Arabidopsis thaliana: one gene and its partners. The protein of the gene in region 2 interacts with the protein of the main gene of each other region in a pairwise test. Each region holds a gene or a part of one and is shown on either strand. Other genes may lie near its edges.

Evidence for each region.
Region 1: the proteins of AT5G23280 (region 2) and PYE interact in a two-hybrid assay, tested with the Arabidopsis thaliana proteins (one large-scale study listed by BioGRID).
Region 3: the proteins of AT5G23280 (region 2) and NAC028 interact in a two-hybrid assay, tested with the Arabidopsis thaliana proteins (one large-scale study listed by BioGRID).
Region 4: the proteins of AT5G23280 (region 2) and AT2G40260 interact in a two-hybrid assay, tested with the Arabidopsis thaliana proteins (one large-scale study listed by BioGRID).

What each region holds. Positions count from the first base shown.
Region 1 is NC_003074.8:17,565,157-17,570,238, forward strand, and holds PYE (basic helix-loop-helix (bHLH) DNA-binding superfamily protein), read left to right. Parts: upstream 1-1,969; 5' UTR 1,970-2,046; exon of another isoform or gene 2,047-2,048; intron 2,049-2,319; exon of another isoform or gene 2,320-2,537; intron 2,538-2,689; 5' UTR 2,690-2,721; intron 2,722-2,838; 5' UTR 2,839-2,878; coding exon 2,879-2,937; intron 2,938-3,027; coding exon 3,028-3,131; intron 3,132-3,239; coding exon 3,240-3,367; intron 3,368-3,513; coding exon 3,514-3,945; 3' UTR 3,946-4,229; downstream 4,230-5,082. Other genes in the region: AT3G47630 (translocator assembly/maintenance protein), read right to left, coding at 1-6; AT3G47650 (DnaJ/Hsp40 cysteine-rich domain superfamily protein), read left to right, coding at 4,420-4,587, 4,683-4,749, 4,832-4,928, 5,028-5,082.
Region 2 is NC_003076.8:7,840,309-7,845,173, reverse strand, and holds AT5G23280 (TCP family transcription factor), read right to left. Parts: upstream 2,568-4,865; 5' UTR 2,158-2,567; coding exon 1,405-2,157; 3' UTR 525-1,404; downstream 1-524. Other genes in the region: STP11 (sugar transporter 11), read right to left, coding at 4,300-4,752, 4,865-4,865.
Region 3 is NC_003070.9:24,519,908-24,526,093, forward strand, and holds NAC028 (NAC domain containing protein 28), read right to left. Parts: upstream 4,354-6,186; 5' UTR 4,202-4,353; coding exon 4,045-4,201; intron 3,134-4,044; coding exon 2,856-3,133; intron 2,779-2,855; coding exon 2,446-2,778; intron 2,336-2,445; coding exon 1,964-2,335; intron 1,866-1,963; coding exon 1,775-1,865; intron 1,691-1,774; coding exon 1,026-1,690; 3' UTR 761-1,025; downstream 1-760. Other genes in the region: AT1G65920 (Regulator of chromosome condensation (RCC1) family with FYVE zinc finger domain-containing protein), read right to left, coding at 5,360-5,447, 5,537-5,898, 5,981-6,127.
Region 4 is NC_003071.7:16,815,841-16,820,795, forward strand, and holds AT2G40260 (Homeodomain-like superfamily protein), read right to left. Parts: upstream 2,891-4,955; 5' UTR 2,634-2,890; coding exon 2,315-2,633; exon of another isoform or gene 2,191-2,314; coding exon 2,114-2,190; intron 2,020-2,113; coding exon 1,983-2,019; intron 1,858-1,982; coding exon 1,755-1,857; intron 1,675-1,754; coding exon 978-1,674; 3' UTR 690-977; downstream 1-689.

The DNA of each region.
Region 1 (5,082 bases), on a different chromosome or scaffold from region 2:
TTCCATTCAGACAAAAATAACCCTTGTAATGTATTCAACTGGGCAGACCTATTCAGATGAAGAAACGTAATAAAAAGGTTGCTTCTGATAGATTGGTCAAATTTGATTTCGAGTAATCTAATTAAAGTTTCTACAATTAAGTTCATGATCATTTGATCATTTTGATTTCAGATTGACACAAACCTTGGAAAAAAGGAGAGGAACGAAGCCAGAGGAGGAATTAGGAAGCGTTAGTTGATTTAAGAGGGGAATTGAAGAAGCTTACCTGCGACTGCGAGTGAAGGCGGCGAAGAGCGAGGAAGAACAACAAACGCCGTGAAGCTAGCTTTTTTGGGTTTGGGCCAAACGAGATTAGTTTCTAACAGATGTTTTTCCGGACCCGGACCGGTAATACCCACGATCCGCTTAATTATTTGGTCCCTGTCTAGCTCTAAAATCCCGGTGCAAACGAACCGGCAAAACCAACGACCTAGCGGTTCGGTATTTTGTTTCTGAAATCTGAACCCTCCGATTTGTTCTTCTTTTTTTTTTTCTTTTTATAATGCAAACAATTGATGAAAAAATATATTATGGTCCGAATGGTAACCTCGGTTTTTAATATGTGAGAAAAGTGGTATAACATTGCAGTACAGTTCAATTACGGTACGTGCGAGAAAAATATATTTGCGGGACAAATATGGTTTGTACAAAATAAGCGGTACAGAATAATGTTTGATTGATGAAAAAATTATTTGCGGTGCGGATTATAAATTATATATATATATATATATTAATAATTAATTATTATTTTTGTGTTAATAAATAAGCAATAACATATATTTATAAATTATTAATACATAAATAAATCAAAATATACATTTTTAAAGTTTAACATACATATTATTAAATTCGTTGAATAGTTTCATCATAAAAAATTGAAAAAAAAATCATAATTTTTTACTAGTAAATTGATTATAGAACTTATATAAGCTTATAGTGGATAATAATTGTCAAAATTTCTATAAGTATTATGATATTTCTATTTCTTGTAATTACATTTTCTTAGATTTTAATTAAATAAAAAGAATAAAACTATAATTATTGCATATATATATATATATATATATATATATATATATATATATTAAAGTCCATTAGTTAAGCAAATTGTTATGTCCTACGTATATTTTTTTCTTTTATGCACTAGGTAACTAGTGATTCTGATGCACACATATACTCTCTTTTTTTGTACATATATTTAAATGGGGAAGCTAATGGAAAAAAAATTAAAATTTGCTTAAGTAATGGAGTAATAAACGAGGGATGTGTGTATGGAAGAGGCAAAGGCTGAGAAACTTTTGGTTGGGACGTAGGACATAACAATTTGCTTAAGTAATGGAGTAATGAACGATTTTTTTGTTGGAATGCGGTTTTGAGCAAAAACACTAGGTAAATGATTTTTCTTCTTTTGAAAAGCATTCCAGTGTATTGTTTTTAGGACAAAATTGCAAACTTTTTTCTTTTTTTTTTCGAAAAACGCAAATTTGTTAAAAGTATTGATTGGTAACTGTATTGTAGTTTTAATAAAAAAACAAGAAAACGCCTTTTGTATGTTTCTTAATCACAGTGTATGAATGGTGACATAGACCGCCCCCAAAACCGTACCGTAACTGTAACAGTATAAAAAATCTCTATATATACATATATATCTATGTATTTTTGTTATTATTTGAACCGTCCCATACTTTTTCCGTATCACAAAATACAGTCATCATTCGAACCGCAAAACTATATATAGTATTTCGGTTTTTGAATTCAAAATGAAGGAGAAGAGGAATAGGCAGATTAATATAATTTCGTTATTTCTTTTTAATTTCCTATCTTCAATTTTTCCTCACCCACTGAATTTGACTATGCCATTAAAAATGTGTATACTAATCATCATACCGTCAATAAATAGAGTTTGTGGGAAACACACGACAGACACGTCATCAGCTCTCGACGGCGCGTTTCCATGCCTTTATTATCCTTCACGTTGACCCCACATGCCCCTGTTTTTTTTTTTTGGTGTTCTACGGTATATTTTTGTGAAAATGTTACTTTTCATCTACTCGATAAAATTCTTAAACAGATAGTACAACTTTTTACCCGATTAATCTGTAGAAAATACAATGTTATTTACACTCAACAAACATTTCCATTAATAGAACTTTACCCGATTTAAACCACTCTTCCACTCGATTAATATTATTATTTTATTAATTAAAGATACGATGACGTGTCCATGAGAGATGAGCTTTAGTGGCACGCAACGTAAGAGAAGAAGACAAAAGTAAAAAAGAGAAAGGCACATGTCGAACTCACGTGTCCACTTAAACGCACCACCTTCTTCTGTGCTCTCCACGCGCCTCCACACGCCCTCCTCAACTTCGGACCTTCTTCCTCCAAAAAAAACAATTTCACTCTTCATTTTCTCAGATTCTCTTATTATTTCTTCTACTCGTTTCGAATCCTAATCGTCTACAGTTTCCGACGAGATTCTCACCGGAGAAAGAAAGGTAGTTCTTTTCTCTGAATCTGTTGTGTTGAGAACTTAGCCGTAATTTTTGAGAATTATTCTTCACTATTTGATTTGACAAGAATATGGGTAATAAAGACAGAATCTAAAACACTTGCTTCAGTTTTTGAGGAATCAAAAATCACACGAAAGTTTTTTTTTTTTTTCTGCTCCTATGTTTCTTGGTGCGTTTGTGTTTATTTGACATTAGGAGTGATTGATTGATTATAAAGATGAATGATTTGTTAGATTCATTAAGATCACTGTTCTTTTTGATTAATCATCTTATGTCTAAATTTTAGGTGACTTGACAGAGAATCTTGTTCTGTAATAAAAGCAAAGATGGTATCGAAAACTCCTTCTACATCGTCTGATGAAGCAAATGCTACTGCAGATGAAAGGTGATTCTTAAGGAGACAATTCTTGGAAATAGATTATGGAACCTTTTATTTTTATTTATGGGGATTGATTATGTTTGGTGTATAAAACAGATGTAGAAAAGGTAAAGTACCGAAAAGGATCAACAAGGCCGTTCGTGAGAGGCTTAAGCGTGAGCATTTGAATGAGCTTTTCATTGAATTAGCCGATACTCTTGGTAAATTTCTCATCTTTCCGTAGATTTGAATGAACAATTGCTCGAGTGTGTTGTGATATTTTGAATGTGATTGTGATATCTAACTGTGAACATGTTTCTTTGTTGCAGAACTGAATCAACAGAACAGTGGGAAAGCTTCTATACTATGCGAAGCTACTCGATTCTTGAAGGACGTGTTTGGTCAAATTGAGTCTCTTAGAAAGGAGCATGCTTCTCTCCTATCTGAATCTAGCTATGTAAGTCAATTTCTATATGCACATTGATTGTGTTTATGTATTCTGTGACGTGAATCAACAACTAAGACGAATGTTGCTTCAAGAAGTTACTTCATCTTTGTATTTTTCTAAATGGTCTTGTTGATGGAAACTGGTGTTGTGTGTAGGTAACCACAGAGAAGAATGAGCTCAAGGAAGAAACATCAGTGCTTGAGACTGAGATTTCGAAACTACAAAACGAGATTGAAGCTAGAGCGAATCAGTCGAAACCTGACTTGAACACCTCTCCTGCACCCGAGTACCATCATCATCATTATCAACAACAACATCCTGAACGTGTATCTCAGTTCCCAGGACTTCCCATTTTCCAAGGCCCCGGCTTTCAACAATCTGCTACAACTCTTCATCCTCCTGCAACAGTTCTTGTCCTTCCAATACAACCTGATCCCCAGACACAAGATATCTCAGAAATGACTCAAGCGCAGCAGCCTTTGATGTTTAATAGCTCAAATGTGAGTAAGCCATGTCCAAGGTATGCTAGCGCGGCTGACTCGTGGTCTTCTCGGCTACTTGGAGAGCGGCTGAAAGCCAGTGAATGAGGTCTTGAACGGCTCCACATGGAGTAGCAACGCAAGTTATAAGACATGGCAACTTATGAAGGACTCTGGTTTTGTATTTTTTAATACATCGTTCTGATGTCCTTGTGGGTTTGGCCTTGGCTATTTCTTGTTTTTGATGGTTGTTCATAGGATCAGGAAGTTATGGCCTTGATGGGTCGTTTGAGATAAATAAGTAAATTAGCTCTAACCATTGTCATTTTCTTTTGTCTTAAGATTCTAAAAACACAGAAACAGAACAAAAAAAATCAAATTTCTTTTTAAGAAAAAAGCTTTCTAATGGAAACTAAAATGTGAAATTGGGTTTAAAAGACAAAACCGGTTAATAGGTTTTGGTTTGGATTGGATAAAGAATATGATGGTATTTTGGTAAAATAGGCACTTGAGAAAAAGAGAAGTGAGAGGAGCCATCTTATCTTTGCTATCGAGTGGGTAAGAAGAATCAGAAAACAGAAAATGGCGAATTCACTATGCTTCTTCTCTTCTCCTCCTACCTTTTGCTTCCAATCTCCAAGCAAAAACCCTAAACCTTCTCACTTCTTCTCAACTAATGATAACACCTCTTCCTTGGTACAGAAGAGAGAACTGCTTCAGACTTCAAGATCCCAAAGTTTTGAAGTTAAGGTTAGAATTTTCCCAAACTCTTCTCTTCTCTATAAAATTTGCTTACTTCATTGACCATTTCGTTAATGCAAAATCTCATTCTGTGGTATCAATAGGCCGCAAACAATAATCCTCAGGGCACTAAACCAAACAGTTTAGTTTGTGCAAATTGTGAAGGGGAAGGTAAGTTCTTACCTGTTTTATAATTCTCTTAGTTTTCTACTCCTGAATTGGTTAGTAATTTGATAAAGATGTTTTTTCAAAGGTTGTGTGGCATGTTCTCAATGCAAAGGAGGTGGTGTGAATTTGATTGATCATTTCAATGGTCAGTTTAAAGCTGGTGCACTCTGTTGGCTTTGCAGGTTTGCTACATCTTATATTCTTTCTTCTAATTCTTCCTTCTCCACAACACATACATAAACTCATTACTTAATATATATTTTTACATTTCTTGTGGGCAGAGGTAAAAAGGAGGTGTTGTGTGGGGACTGCAATGGAGCTGGTTTCATTGGTGGG
Region 2 (4,865 bases):
TAAGACCTAATTAAGAAAGAAAAAACACCAACTTTTTGTTAAGATCTTTCCATTAATGGATTCTTATTTTAATGAGAAAATTTGTTTGATTCTTTTGATTGGTTAGTGTGACCTAAATAGTCTAAAGAAGCCTATCTAATCACTTTGACATTTATTCATCAGGTATTATCGTGATAAATAAATTATTGGTTAAATACATTACTCAGCAGATATATAGCTGTGAAAACCACAAACGAAATCATTGAATCTATGCTATTTGTACCTTAAATATACTTTGCATAAGAAATTATACTATATCAGGGGTTAAAATAAAATTTACTTTTTTGATAGTCCAAATTATTACAACAGTGAAAATGGTTTTTGCCAAAATTAAAACAACCATTTGAACTCATGTTCGAGTGTATCACCCACATTTTTTTAGATAGCTAATCTCAAACAAGAGAAGAGACAATTCTAACACCTTTAATCTTTCAAATTGTAACAGTTTCTAGAACAAAAATATAGACAATTAATTTAAAGATATCATGTCGCCATATAGTTTTAACAGTACTTAAATTTAATATTTCTCTGACTAACGTGACAAACCAAACTTCCAAAAGCACAGTACAAAGATTCATATGAAACAAAAAGGCAACAAAATTGAAGAATTCAGACACAACTGGTTTGTCTCTTTTTCTTACTAAATCCTCTGTTCAGTTCTTGCATTAAATCAAGACGCGAAACGCCAAAAATAAATAGCATCTCAAAATCCACAATTCATACATATATCCACTAAAAAAATAAGAGATTATTATGATTCTGTTCAAAAATCCATCATCCGGTTCGATTTCAACGAAACAATCACTATCACATAAAGCTTTTTGTGTATCAATAAATGCAGAGAAGGAAGGAACAATATGAATTCGAAACATTTATTAGAAATAAACGTGGTTAACAGCTTACGCAAATGCTTCACCACAATTGTTGTAACACATTACACAATTAGCAACAACAACAACAAACCATATTAAAACATTTAAATATATATCTGAAATTTTAATCGACGGCTCTGTTTCACCGGAAAAAAAAAACAGACACAAAAAAAAAAAGAGGAAAAGAAACCACCGTGGTTTCTGAAATTTTCCCTTTTTTCCTAAAAGTAATCTTGGATCCGATAAGAAATCGATCTCCCTCCAAAAAAACAACAGATTCTTAAACCCTAATTTAACCCTAATCAAAAACAACCGTCTTTAACTTACTTAAAGCTAACGAAAACTCTCAAATCACTTGCAGAGATTCTGAAACCAAATCAATCTCTAACAACACTAAAACACACACATAGAGAAACAATGACAACAATAGAGAAGAGAAGATAATAAATATATATACCAAATTTTGCCCTCAAACCTAAAAGGGCTTAAACCATTAACGTGGATCTTCCTCTCTTCGATCCGACCCGGGAGATCCACCGGATAAAGAAGCAAGCAAATTAAGATGACCCGGAAGATAATTCCCAACTCTAGCAGCAGAAGCTTCACCCATTGCAGCTTGTTGTTGCTGTTGCTGATGAACAAACAATGGTTGCTGATGATGATGTTGTTGTTGTAAAAACATCTCTTGTGGAGCTCCAGCAAAACTCCAAACTTGTCCAAAATCCGGCCTCGCCGGAACAGCCCAAAACCCAGCTGGTGTTGTCGTAAAGGTCTCATCTTTACCAACAGAACTATGATTATGACTATTATTACTATCCTCATCAGCTCTAACACGTTTCCCAAGTATAAACGGTGACGTACCACCAAGTAAAGAAGTGGGTTTATGATCTAAAGAAGTAGAATTGGTGGCTCCACGGATAGAGACAGAAGCAGTTGAGAAACTCGCTGGAGTTGTACCAGTTCCTGTTGCAGCTATAATAGAAGGCTCTGCTTGACGAAGTAACCATTCAATTGTTTGGCCATCTGACTTATGACCAAGCTCTCTCGTTAGCTGAAAAACACGAGCAGCACATATAATCGGCATACGGATTCTTCTCCCTCTTCCATCGACTTTGCTATGTCGATCTTTCGCCGGTGGTTTCTTCACAACGACTGATGGTTGTTGTTCGATTAAAGCTCCGTTTGATGAGATCATAAGACCATCGTTGTTATTGTTGTTGTTGTTGTTGTTGTTGTTAATAGACATGGTTTTCGATCTGGGTTTAGTGTTTTCTTTTTCTCACTTGGCTTGTGATTACTCTCTCTGTGAGAGAAGAGAAGAGAAGAAGCTAATGATTGAGAAGGAGGGAGCTGGTGGAGACAGGAAGGAGAAGCACATGGGTGTGGTGGGGTCCTTTTCACACAGCTCACCATCTCTGGTTTTTTTTCTCTTTTTTTTTTTGCTTTTTTGAGAGGACATTAGTTTTGTCCCGACGCGGTGGAGCTCACGCGCGTTATTACTCCGGTGAAGAAGAAGGTCGCGTGGGGACCAAACTCCGGCAGGAGAATTTAACACTAGGTAGGTGGGTCACTCCTCCGGCTGCTACGTGCATTTAAAGAGACATTTATCCTTTGCCACGTCATTATATACATTATTACTAACTTACTATAAGCTTGAATTTGGAAATTAACACGAAGATACTAATCTTATTTAAAATACATGAAACTAAATGTATTGAAGTTGGTCTCTCTGTCTAAAAAAGTTTTTTTTTGTTTTTAAATTTTTGGGACCAACCTAATGTGGTTATTAGATTTGGGCTAATGTGAACATTTGTTTTGTGATTACGTGAAAATTAATCTTTTTTAGAAAGCTGTTTCCATAAAACAATCGAAAAGATTGAAAAGGAGACAAATCAGTGAGGTAATTGATTGGTAAGTAGACTTTGACATCAAAACTTAATTGAGTTATAAAACAATCAAAATTTAATACTAGTGTTTGTTCTTTTTATTTATTTGTTTATAGTATATTGGTAATAATATTTGCCACCAGTTACTCTGCCGTAAATGCCAGTAGCCCAGTATCACGTGTTTTACGTGAAATGGCAAAAATCGAAACCCTTAAAAATTATTCAGAATTCTTTTGTCGACATCACAAAAGAAAGTTACCTGTAATTAGTTGAGTTTTGCCAACTAAAATACCCAAAGACATTTAAATTAATAGTACTATAAATTAAAAATATTATGGTTTTAATGTTATTAATTTATAGAGGTTTTACTGTATATAATATAAATATATATATAAAATAAATGTGTGTATAAAATAAAAAGAACGAACATTAATTTTAATAACTCCCATTTTGAGACTGACATTGAAAATAAGTGGATTAGTCCACTTGTCAGATACGCAAGATTTTCTTTATGTCGTTCGTCTCATCGCAACGAGATTTTCTTCACATATCGTGACAACAATTTATTTTATGACTTATGCTGAGTTATGCACCACCAAACGCTAATATTTGTTTTAATTATTTTCGTACTCGTACCCCCTAATTAAATGGATTTTCTTATCGTTAATTTTTAACATTCTTGTGAGCTAATGCAAAAAAATAAATGCAATCATGAGCGATATGGCATCATGTCGGCAGTTTTATAAAAAGATTGTGTACCTTGAACTTTTGATCCTTTTTTTTTTTAATCTAAAAGATTTCGGAATCCATTTTTTGTGTAACTATAAACTTGAAACCTAATCTGATACAAAATGTTGTGGAGTGAATAATAATACTAATTTATAAATCATGTGAATAGTATTCACTTGTAACAAAACAAAACAAAAAAGTAATTAATATTGGATAATGGATGATAACAATTGTTTGTTCGAGATTGACTTGATGGTTGATTTAGTTATGTTACAAACAAAAATAAATAACCAATTTAATTTCACTTCTAAGTTTTGGAAACAACTGATAAGATATGATATGGTAGATAAATTCAATAATTTAAAAATCGCTATCCAAATGAGAATGGGTCAAATTTGGGTTATTTTAAGTACAAATAGAGAGAGAGAGTTTTTTTTAATAATCTTGTGAAGTGTTAGAGAATTTTTAGTAGCCGGAAAATTATAATAATTTTAAATATTTTAACAATTCAAACGGATAATTTGGATACTCTTAATAATTACTCGACATGTATCTTTATCGTAAAAAATGATCATTTTAGTCTAAACAAAAAATTTATATTATTTTTAGTTCAAGAAGTTTCGAGTAATTTTAAGTACGGTCATAAATCCTCAAATTATGTACACTTGTTTATTATATCCTCATTTTTATTTTCTCACATTGGTCAGTATAAGCATTTTCTCAATAATAAGTTTTTAATCCTAACATATCCTTAAATCCCAAATAATCATCAACTAAAAATAAGCATCATCATCAACATCATCACCATCATCATTATTACTATATTTCCCCCAATATCTATGCTCTTTCCACACTTTCCCCATCTCCTCAATCGGAACACCTTTTGTCTCCGGCAACAAGAAGTAAATGAAAATGGTCATGATCAAGACCATACCCGCGAAGAAATAGAACAAACCAAACTTCATATGGCAAAGCATCGTCAAGAAGAATTGTCCAATGAAGAATGTAAAGAACATGTTCACCGAAACGTTTAACGATTGTCCTGCTGATCTAATTTCCAATGGACATATCTCACTCGGCACTAACCATCCCAACGGTCCCCATGACCACGCGAAACCCGCCACATAGAGACATATCAGTGCCAAGATTATATCCGCATCAACCCCTGACAAATTTCCTTCCCCGTTGAATCCAAATTTCCATCCGATCATCGACCCGACCGCGATCTGAAGCCAAAGCAAAACAAATCATTGTTACCTACCTCGGTTTTAGAAAGCAGAGCAAGATACTCTGTTTTGAAAAACAGAGTATTTTCATTGTTTTAGGGTTTGTACGCACC
Region 3 (6,186 bases), on a different chromosome or scaffold from region 2:
AAATCCAGTATGCATAATCATCTTTTGAACTGGTTCTTGTGCTAGAGTTACAAAATCCTAGTTGTACTAGTACCAAACTTTTATGACACTTTTTAGCAGCTTGTTTTCGGTCAAGCTTGAAAACATGATCCATGGAAACATAACATCTATTTTTTTTGTAAATCATAAATTTGTTCATATAAAAGAAGATTTAATTATTAATTGCTAATGACTAAGATATTAAAAATTCAATGTTGAAACGTATCGATATTTGGTATGTTATGAGATATGCATACTCACGACATTGTTAATGTTGCAACGTATCGTAATATGCATATTATGACGGGGCAAGTCCGTCTAGTCCTCTTCACTCAGCGTTAGACACATTCGTTTATTCTATGTTTTGTTTGGGAGAGAATAATGAAGTTTCAATCGCCGATCCATACAAACTATTAAGAGCCAGGAAAGCAAATCTTGGCTCCATGAGATTGGCGAGCTTCTCTGACGCACCTAGATTCTTTTGTAAGAGAGGTTTTTTTCCTCTCTCTATCTTCCATTCACATTTGTTTTAATATTGAAACCGACAGTTTGAACCGTATAGGTTATTCTTAAATATTATCTGTCAAGATTCAAGAACAAAATAGCTCGATAGTAATTTTTGATGATCTATACATTGCAAAACATGGAACAGCAATCGTTATAATAAACAAGTTATTATGAAAATGACTATAAACTTACTCACATATCTATAGTGACTAAAATACTGAAATACAAGATGGCTAAATTGTTAATGTTCGTATAATCTGCTCTTACCGTCTTACGTGCATGCAAACATAATAATAATAATAAAAACCAGACAGAAGACTGATCGTTCAACCCGCGGAGAGATCATATCACTTAATACATAAACAGAAAATAACCAAATCTAGTTTTGTTTAGACGACTTTAGAGAAATGGAAAAAGCAAATGAGAGTAAATACGACCTAGGCAAATGGGAGTACAATAGAAAAGTGAAAAGCCATATATGATATATTGAACCTCAGTATTCAAATAAGACTTATGGTAGAAACAGCTAAGATGATAGCAAGAGAAAGCCCCAACTTCTTCAATACGAAACTATCTTGAAACCGAAAACCTTGTTCGTCAACCATATTTTTCTCTTTCTTCTTCTTCCAAATTTTTCTTCTCACGACAGCATTTTCCATCATGAGTATTGTTCCCCGATTGTTACAATCTCCTCTCGTAGGCTGCCTCGAGTAACCTTCACTGCCTCTGTTTTTGTTAGAGTTACCTCGATGAACACAACGCATCAATAGAAGCATAGGAATGAAGCCAATAACATGCGCGAATTTTCTCCATTGTCCAAGAACTGTTGAGCTTACTCCGTTGATTCGCGGATTTATCTTTTTACGGACATGAACCTCCTCTTTTGATGTCATACTATGACAACACTCATTGCCATCCGTCGGATTTATATAAACTATAACGGTTTGCGATGGTACTATCTGTTGGAAGAATGTGTTGGTTACCTGACGAGTTGTGACAAACAATCCATGGCTAACCTCAACTTTTTTTACCACCTCAAAACATGAGGAACTCGTTGTCTCATGATCGTTCTTGTCCAAAAGATTCTCGTTATGTTCGTTTTCCGAAAACTCGAGTGTGAAAGCATCATCCACATCTCCATTGTTGTTGTTAACGTCCATACCATCTTCAACAACAACAAAACAAAAAAATCAAATCCAGAGATGTCAAGAAAGACAACCAAATGTAGAAATCGCGAAGTGAAAGCTACCTTGATCATGATGTTCTTGTTCTTGATTATCATTATGATATCTCCAAATATCTTCTATAGGAATTACCGTTGAGTGTTCTTCAACGAAGCTCTGAAATTTGTAGAATAAATCAAACATATACTTATATTTGATAACATATATATTAACACATAAAATATTTTGCACTTAACATTGTAAAATATCACTACCTTTTCAAGTTCCTTGCTTGATACTCCTACCCATCTCAAGTTTTCAACAAGTCTTTCTTCCTTAAAATTCACATGGTGTTCTTGCATATCTACAGCCTCCACGTTCGCCTCTAGGCATGAGACTTTTTCTCCGGAATAGTTAAAGTCTCCATGGAAGTTCCCGGAAGCAGAACCACCGTCCCATGAGTCTAGACTGTTTCGTGGCTCATGTGAGGCTTGAGCCAATGCTATAATCTTGCTCAACATTTCATCTGTATCGTTAGCTACATTGTTTCCAAAATATTCATTGTGTGTGAGACCTTCTACGTAAAGTGGTGGTACTGGTGGCAACATACGATTTTGTAGTCTTGCACACTCTAACGCTATATCAACCTATTATATGAGGAGAATTCAATGGATAAGAGATTAGTTTGAAAACAAAAGGTTACATATTCACCAATTTTAATTTTGTATTTCTTTGAGATATATAGTTTAAATTTTACCTTCGAGGGAGGATATGAGATTGTTCCATATTGAGACTGAGGTGGGAAGTTGAAGGACGTGTCATGCGACATAAACTGACTCCATTTATTCTCTATCGTTTCCATATCCGACGACGAATTATTACCGAGTTGAGTTAAGCCTCCTGTCTCAGGTGAGACTGGATACCCCGAGTTTTCGAGGTTTTCATACATTCCATCAGAATACAAACAAGTACTAGAAGTAGATTGTTCACTATTAGTCGTTCCTTTGTTCTTCTTCGTACCATGGTGTTGTTCTTCAATTTTGTTGGCTAAAGCACTCTTCTTAAATACTCGACAAAGTGCATAGGCATCCTGAAATGTTTATACATTGGTTTATATTCAAGTTAAGAATCTTAATCTTTTGATAACCTTTTTAAAAGTTAGCTTACCTGTATACCGGATTTAGAGTCACATTCTTGTTCTTCAAGACGGTACTCGTGCATGACCCAATCGGTACGAGAGCCATGAGGCGCTCTTCCTCGGTAATAAACTAATGTTTTCTTTGTTCCAACCATCCGTGAATGTGAAGTCACTTTACGATCTTTCCCGGTGGCTTTCCAGTAACCTGCTTTGGTCGCCCGGTTTGTTCTTGATCCGTTTGGATATTTCCGGTCTCGAGGACTGAAAAAGAACCATTCTAGGTCTTTACTTGGCAGCAAGGACTTCCCTGCAAGGATCATACAATTAAGATAAATTATATCCAATCTTAATTTGTACACACTACTTAAAGATTCCATAACATGTCATGAGAATCCAAAAGATTAAAAAAGAAAAGACAAATAAAGAGAACATTAGATTGTTTTATATTTAAAACAAAAAGTTGAAGGTGAATGAGAAGCTTCCAAAACCCTAAAGCACATGTGAAATTATTGTGAGTTACTTATTATCTTTTTTTTTCAATCTTCTTACCTTTTTTGACTCGGTCTTCCGAATTTGTCTCACACTAGTCACCACCGCATCTCTCGGTTTTATTACAATCCTTTTAAAGACTAAAGATAAGGGTGGGTCCATTTAAATTTTATTCTAACATAAAGTTGGGATCATAATTATTAAAGATTATTTAGTTGATAAAGCATTCACGTTCGATTCCAAGTTCGATGCGTGACTAGAGATACATAACTTGGTACGTAAAAATGTGAAAATAAAATGGGAATTATATTATGTTAAGGAAAAAGAGGGAAAGAACATCTATCTTCGAAAAAGAAAGGACGTCAAGTGTCTCTTCTCTCAAGGGTTACCCTTTCAAACATTAGTTTCACATTATGTAGTTTTCAGAAAAATGAATCTATTTTTCGTTATTCTTACTAAATTCCAAAAAAAAATGATCTTACACTAAGCATATCAATCAAATGATTATGACATATTAGAAAAGAACCAGATAGAGTCTTCTCCTTCGGTTGCTATGGTATGGTCTCATTTAAAATTTCTTTAACATGAGACACAACATGTTGATGTACTAACGATGCAGAATCATAAATTTATACCTTCGTCCATGGTAAATACTTGCGGATGACCAAAAAAAATGATAGATTTGCATCTTATGAAAAAGAAAAAAAAGAAGCAAAGAGAGAAATATACCAGGTAAATCCCAAGGTTCGCATTTGTAAAGATCAATCTCGGGTATTATCTCTAACTCAATAGTCCGACCATTAATCTTTCGCTTGAGGTAGTATATGACAAGCTCTTCGTCTGTTGGATGAAACCGGAAACCTGGAGGCATTGAAACAGGAGCCATGTCCACTGCCTTATACAAACTTCTTAGCTAGAAACAAATATGAACATTTATAGAACTTAAGAGAGAAAAAGGAGAAGAGGGAGGAGAAGGAGTGAGAATATGAAGAGACAGTTATATAAGAAAGAAGCGTAACATAAGGGTTTGAATTCGATCGATCAGTGATGAAATTGTAAGAAAGACAAAAAGAGATTAAAATTATGTAAAAGAAGCTGGAAAAAGCATTTAGGGTCGGTTGCCAATTGCAAACCCCACAACATATTTTCCACTTTAACTTTTCTTTTTACTTTAATGTGTTTATATATTTCCGTGTAAATTTGATTCTCAGTAACGTTCTTAATAAGCTTTTTCGGTATCATGTTCAATGTTGGAAAACTCACGTTCATTATAATTCATCTAAACATGTTTATTTTTGTTCATCCATGCGTAACGTGTTTATGCATATAGACTAGATATTTGTCAATTTCATTTATCAGTTTTGCTCCTAGTGAAAATATTAAAAGTAACCAATTAAAGACAATTTGATAACTATTTTTGCTTGTAAAAACGGATATATATGTATAAACCTATACTAGTTAATAACTTTTGCTCGTCATATTTTTTGGCATCGACCAACGTAAGGACGTGACATATTTGACATATTTATAAGGAATTTTCAACAACTAGAACTTAATGTAAGGTTTTAAGAAAACATAATAAGTAAACTATTTTTTACGTTGTTAATTTTTGAGATGCTTTCTCACTGTTTTCACACATTTTAAGCCACATTTCATAGTCAATTATTACGTTTTCTATAATATAGAATGAAAGTTTTATATTTGATATACATCATTTTATTTTCTATCTCGTGGTCAATGCCTCAATGGTAATATTGAACCAATCGCATTTTGAAGATAGCATGTTAGATATATTTCTACTTACATTTACATACTATGCAAGTCTTCTTCATTGCTCAAAATCACAAACATTTTTCTTAACTCGCATATATATTTCCTAGATGATCATTAAAATATTTTTATTAATCATATATTGGAATTTTTTTCCCAGTATTTTTTTTTCATTTTTTCTTAAATAAAGAAATTTTTCTGCATTACATATATTCACTAACAAACATCAAAATGAATTAAAATACATTCGAAGAAGTAAACTCAAAAGTTAGTTTCATATTTCAGCATCATACTTGTTATAGACCAAAACCTGCTTCTCTTCCCACCATCTTTGTGCTTCCTTCTCTGAAAACCTCTTCCGACTGCAACCAAAGTTAGAAACCAATCATATAAATACTTAAGCGTACTTCAAACTATATAAACACTTAAAAGCACATTAACATTTTTTTACCTAAACCGTACGCGTTTAAGCGTCTTCTGACCGCAAGGCAAGGCCGTGAAAGTTATATATACACCGGGCTCGTATTGCTCAACTTGTTCTGCTGACGAGTCTTGTGTTTCGTTTTGGAGATACCCTGTTCTTGTGATGGCTGGCGATGCATCTACTAATAGCTTAATGTTGCTGTCACGGTTCGAGGATTTCGTGACACATTTCTCTACATGTTGTTTGGTTTCGTGTTGTGAACGAGCTGTGGTGATTGGTGTGAGGTATGGAATGGACATTGAGTCATCAAAGATTGGTGAGACTTGAGAAGGATTGCATGCAATGCCGGTCTTCAGAGGATTACTCGGTTTCTCTTTATTCGCTTGGAGCTGCAAGCAAAGATACCGTGAAAATGTCGGTCACATAACAAACCAAAAACAGAAAGATTAAAAAAAACTATGTATCTTTTACCTTCGATGCCAAGGCTTTTATTATCTCTTTAGCAGCTTTCGATTTCTCTGCTTCTTCTTTAGCAACTTCCCATGTCTTGTCGAGCTCTTGTTGACATTCTTCCATCTTCTCATTGCCAAGTTCACACTGCCTCTGGAGATTTTTTATCTACATGTTCATAAAAATGTATCTTTAGTGTCTAATGTGTTACTATTGTTACAGGTAAG
Region 4 (4,955 bases), on a different chromosome or scaffold from region 2:
AGACATAAAACAACAAAAACTTTCCATAGTTTTGATTCTCTGGAAATATGAAAAAATTCCCAAATATATAATACATATAGCCAAATCTTATTCAAGGCCCAAGATGATAAGAAACGATTATATGCGAATAACAGATACTAGCTTGTTGTCTATCGAGGAGATCAAGACATATCTCTATGTCAAGTACATCTGTCTTCTTGTCGTTCTCTCCAATTTTCTCTTAAAGAAAGTGTCTTCTTTTTTTCTTAATTAACCTCGCAACTAAATTAAAATAAACTTTGGTTGGTTATCAGAACCGATTTGTTTTTTTTTTTTTGTTTTTTTAATACAAACAAAACATTCAGCAGACCTGATTTTTAAATTAACGGACCTTTCATATAATTTCAACTACAAATCTAAAACATAGAATAATTTATAAAACGATTTTGAAGAAGGCAAAAACTCGTCTTTATAAAAATAATAATGCTATAGCTCAGAAAGCTATGACTCGGAAGTCTTCATCTTCTTTTCTTGTATTCACTGATTTGACGTTAACGTATAAATTTTCAGACAATATCTCCATGTTAAAACAAAAATATTGCTTAGGATACTTGTTATGTGAGAGTAAACTACATATACATTGCAACGTCTAGACAAGCTTATAGACAACGTGCAATGTCTTGTAACTCTCAAAACCATATATATAGACTCTCACTAATGTATTTCTTGGTTACTATACTATTTAGAAGAAAACAAATTTCTGCTCCCAACTCGATCACAAATCATATATATTTTAAAATATGCATTTAACGATCTCGACAAAATTATGTGAATTTTTTTTTAATAAAAAACATTAAAAAATGTCTCTATTATTTCCTTAATTATGGGTCTTGTCACAAGTATGCAACGAATGATAAACAACAATACAGAACCGTCTTCCATCAACAAGTACCACAAGATCTCACTTAGAATATACGTATATAAGTTGTTATACATATTCACAGAGTGAGATCAAGGGGACTTGCCAAGACCGAAATCTTTCTCTTTTTGTGATCAGTTTGATCTTCTTTCCTAATGGTTCGGTCGAGTTTTGATGAACCTGAAGATGATAACGAAAGAGACAAACTCTTGATATCTTGATGATCATCATGTTCTTTTACTTCATCTTCTAACAAGCATTCTCCAAGATTGTCGTGTGTCCGAGGTACCTTAAGGGACAAGCTTAGATCCAAATCTTGGTCTGACTTATTGCAGTCATCAGAAAATAATAACCTCTTCCTCTTCAAAACATTCTCTGATCCTTCTGCCACTCCAGCATTCTCCCATTGATAAGAATTTAGCGTTGTAGCAATATGATCTTGTGGTATTGTTGCGGTGGAGGACTTAAGATTGGAAGAGAGGCTCTGTCCCCATGATTTGTTAAACGTTTTCATACCTTCAAGAAAACTTCTATGAATTCTTGGAACAGCTCCAGCTACTCCATTGTTATCATGAACCCCTTCATGAGAATTGATTCGAAATGAAATAGTTTTGTTCTTATCGTTAAGAATACTATTGCTAACTCCGTGATATCTCTCACCAGGCTGTGAGCTAAACATTGTTTGTCTTGTTCTTGTATTTTCTCGTGTCGTTAATCCTCTCCAAGGGCTACGGTAGATCTGTCGTCTGTGGTCAGTCCACGAACCACCACCATATCTATTGAATACATTCCAAGTTACACACACGTAATTTTAACTTATAGTTTAAAGATAGCTAGCTGAAGAGTTTGTAAATACCCTAAACTAGAAGAAGGCCTTTGATCAAAACTTTGTAGCATTGGAAGTTGGCTAAGGTTGTAAGTGTAACCAGCTCCGTGTTCAAACGAAAATCCTTGATCTCCTGTAGTTATAAGAAAAGATAAAACACGAGAGACAAGAATTAGTCAATTTCTCGTCGAATTCAATTATAAGATTTATAGAAGCCCTAACTTAAATCAGAAGGTAGAAGAAAGCTAAGTAAACTACCTTCATTAGGCTCATCGGTCTTCTTGCTTCTGTACATCTAAGAAGAAAAAAAAATGAAGTATGATTTCAGATGAAGATCTCAATGATGTATATAGATATATACTCTATGTGTATGTGGATATTTGCAAAACCTGAAGATGACTCTTAACATGGGCAATACTTAGCCCCTTGACGTTCATCAATTGGAGAACAAGCTTCGGTGTTGCTCCTGTTTCAACAAAATCATTGAAAGAGACCCCAAATAAATATCAACAAGAAAACCCTAGAAATTTAGAGATCTTCACATATGCAATGATCTTGATATTGATTCATATATATAATTGAAACTCAACTATCTGGGCCACCCAATCTCTCCACAGCTTGAAGAAAGCAAATATGGAGCTCCGGCGTCCATCGCAGCCTCGGAGTCTTTGAGCGGTTGTACGGCCTCACGGATCCTCCATTCTTCTTGTTCTGATCATGGTGGTGACTCCCACTCTCTTCCTCATAGCTATTGCTAGATGGGCTCTGATCTCCAGATCTCTCTTCTTCATCCTCTTCGCCTTCTTCATCATCCTCTTCATCTTTATCTTCTTCATTCTTGGTGGTTGCTTTGATGTTGTTAGATAGACAAGTCTTGGAGTTTTCAGAATTTTGGCTGCTTGATCTCATCTTGGTCTCTAGCTATTTGGCTGTTTTTGTGTTGTTTGTTTTGAGGTTGAACCTTTTTGGTCTATCTTGGAGTTCTCTGGACAAAGATCAAACAAAGATCACACACTCATACATATGTGTTAGGAATTTAAGGTGAAGACTTTTGATGGTCTATGTGTATGACTTTTTGGATGCTTGTATCCATCATTCCTTTTTCTCCCCCTCTCTCTCCAACTCAACATATATGTTGAAATATGTATATGATGGCAACGGATATTCTAAATTCTATTTAATATATAGCTTTTTATTACACCAATGGTTTTTTCTACAGTTATATACATCTTAGGGAAAGATAGATCTAGAATTACACCTCATGACAAAAATGGTACTTTTAATTTCATTAAACATTAGTAACTTCAGTCATAAGATGTATTTTAAAATGAGTTAATAACTATTAAGTCAATTAGTACAATTAATCTTTGAATCTCGTTGTGATAGGGAGTGAAAAGAAATTCCAAGGAGTAGATTGAATTTATCTAAATAATGATCATTTTCATGGTAAAAGATCAAACGTTTTCATGATATCAACCCGTACGTATACCAATTTTATGACATAAATCAGGGTTCAATATGACATGTACATTAACAATTTTTTTTGTTCTTTCTTTCAAAACCAACTGAAGATCTATGTTTTTCATTGGATTTGGTACGTGTTTTTGTTTCATTCGAACTAGCTTTTAGCAATATAGGAAGAAGGCAACATTAATGAGGCATACACATTAATTAGATAAATGAAACTTCTTCCATCGTTACAACTCATGAATTAAATTGACTAGAAAAGCAAAGCATAAAAGGGGATGGTTAGGGGGATGGGCTCGTGACTTCAAAGCCAAAGCTGTGAAACCAGAAAAAGAAGAAACCCAAAAGCATAATTAGATAGATAGACAGAGAAAGAGCATAGAGAGAGGAATCAGACAGAAGTTAAAAGGTGCTTGGCTGGGCTGTCTTCACTGAAAGACACGAGAAGAAAATATTACTACTTGTTTCTGTCACCAACGACAATCACGGGTTTGTCTCCATCTCCACTACTCTTACGATTTCATATTATCTATAATTATCTACACATGCGCCTCTCTCTATATACATGCAAATAGTACATCTCTTTTTCTATATATAACCCAAATAAATGTTAAAAAATAAATAAATAAATTAGGATACAGAATATAACAACTGAAGCTAATAAGTCACATGATTATCACAGAATTGAACTTGAGAATTATATGAGTTTCTGTACGTACACACATGCAACCAATTGATTTAGTTTGGAATTCAGTTCAGGGGTGATTAGTTCGTTCTATATAGCGTACGTACTATTAAAATTACTAGTAAAATACTAAACAAAAGATATGTTCTAATTAAGTATGTCATACTTTTATTTTTGTGAAATTAAGGAAGTAGGCAAAGTAGGGGATGTCATACTTTTTTAAGAACTTAGAAAGGAGAAAATTAAAATGTATAATATATGATTTACTTATTGTCATGAACTTTGCGCCTCCAGGAGAGGGTCAAGGCAGAATTGTATCTATCTGTATTCCTCTAACATCAGCAGGCTAATTTTTCTTGTAAGCGACATGCAAGTACTGTGTCAAATTTTGTGAATGGTGACCAGATAATGTGAAAGTCATCGGTCAAATAAATTAGGTATATGACATTTCTTTCTGTTTTTTTTTTTTTTTTCAAAATCGTTTTTGGAAGCCCAATGTCCAGCCGTAATCGTATATTTTCGTCGTCGTTATTAATTGGTAGGAAGAATTAAAGCTGTCGTATATTTTGGTTTTAAAAGTGTAGCAATAATAATTTACGTTAGAATGACGTTCTTCATATCTACCCTATAATCCTACTTCCATGCTCAGACAACCCATGATCAATTATACGACCCAACAGATACCAAATGCTAAGTATTAATATCAATCACGGTATTGACAAAAAAAGGGTATATTAACTACGGTATTGATTTACTAAGTTATATAATCCGTTGAAATTGACCACGACACTATGCTAATTCATTTTCCTTGACACATATATGAAATGAACCAATCAAATTCTAAGCGTGGACCAAAGTCTTCGTGTTTTATGTCTCTCAACTTTTAAAATTTCGGTACCTATAAGGCTATAACTTTTTTATAATATAGGGTTTGAACTGAAGATCTGAGATTGTAGAAACTATATACGCAGTGTACACTAGACCGAAGAAAATTCAAGTAATATATTATATAATTGTACTTCAAATAATGTGCAACCATATGTGAACGTAAATATATTAATCGGAAAGAATAAATTAGG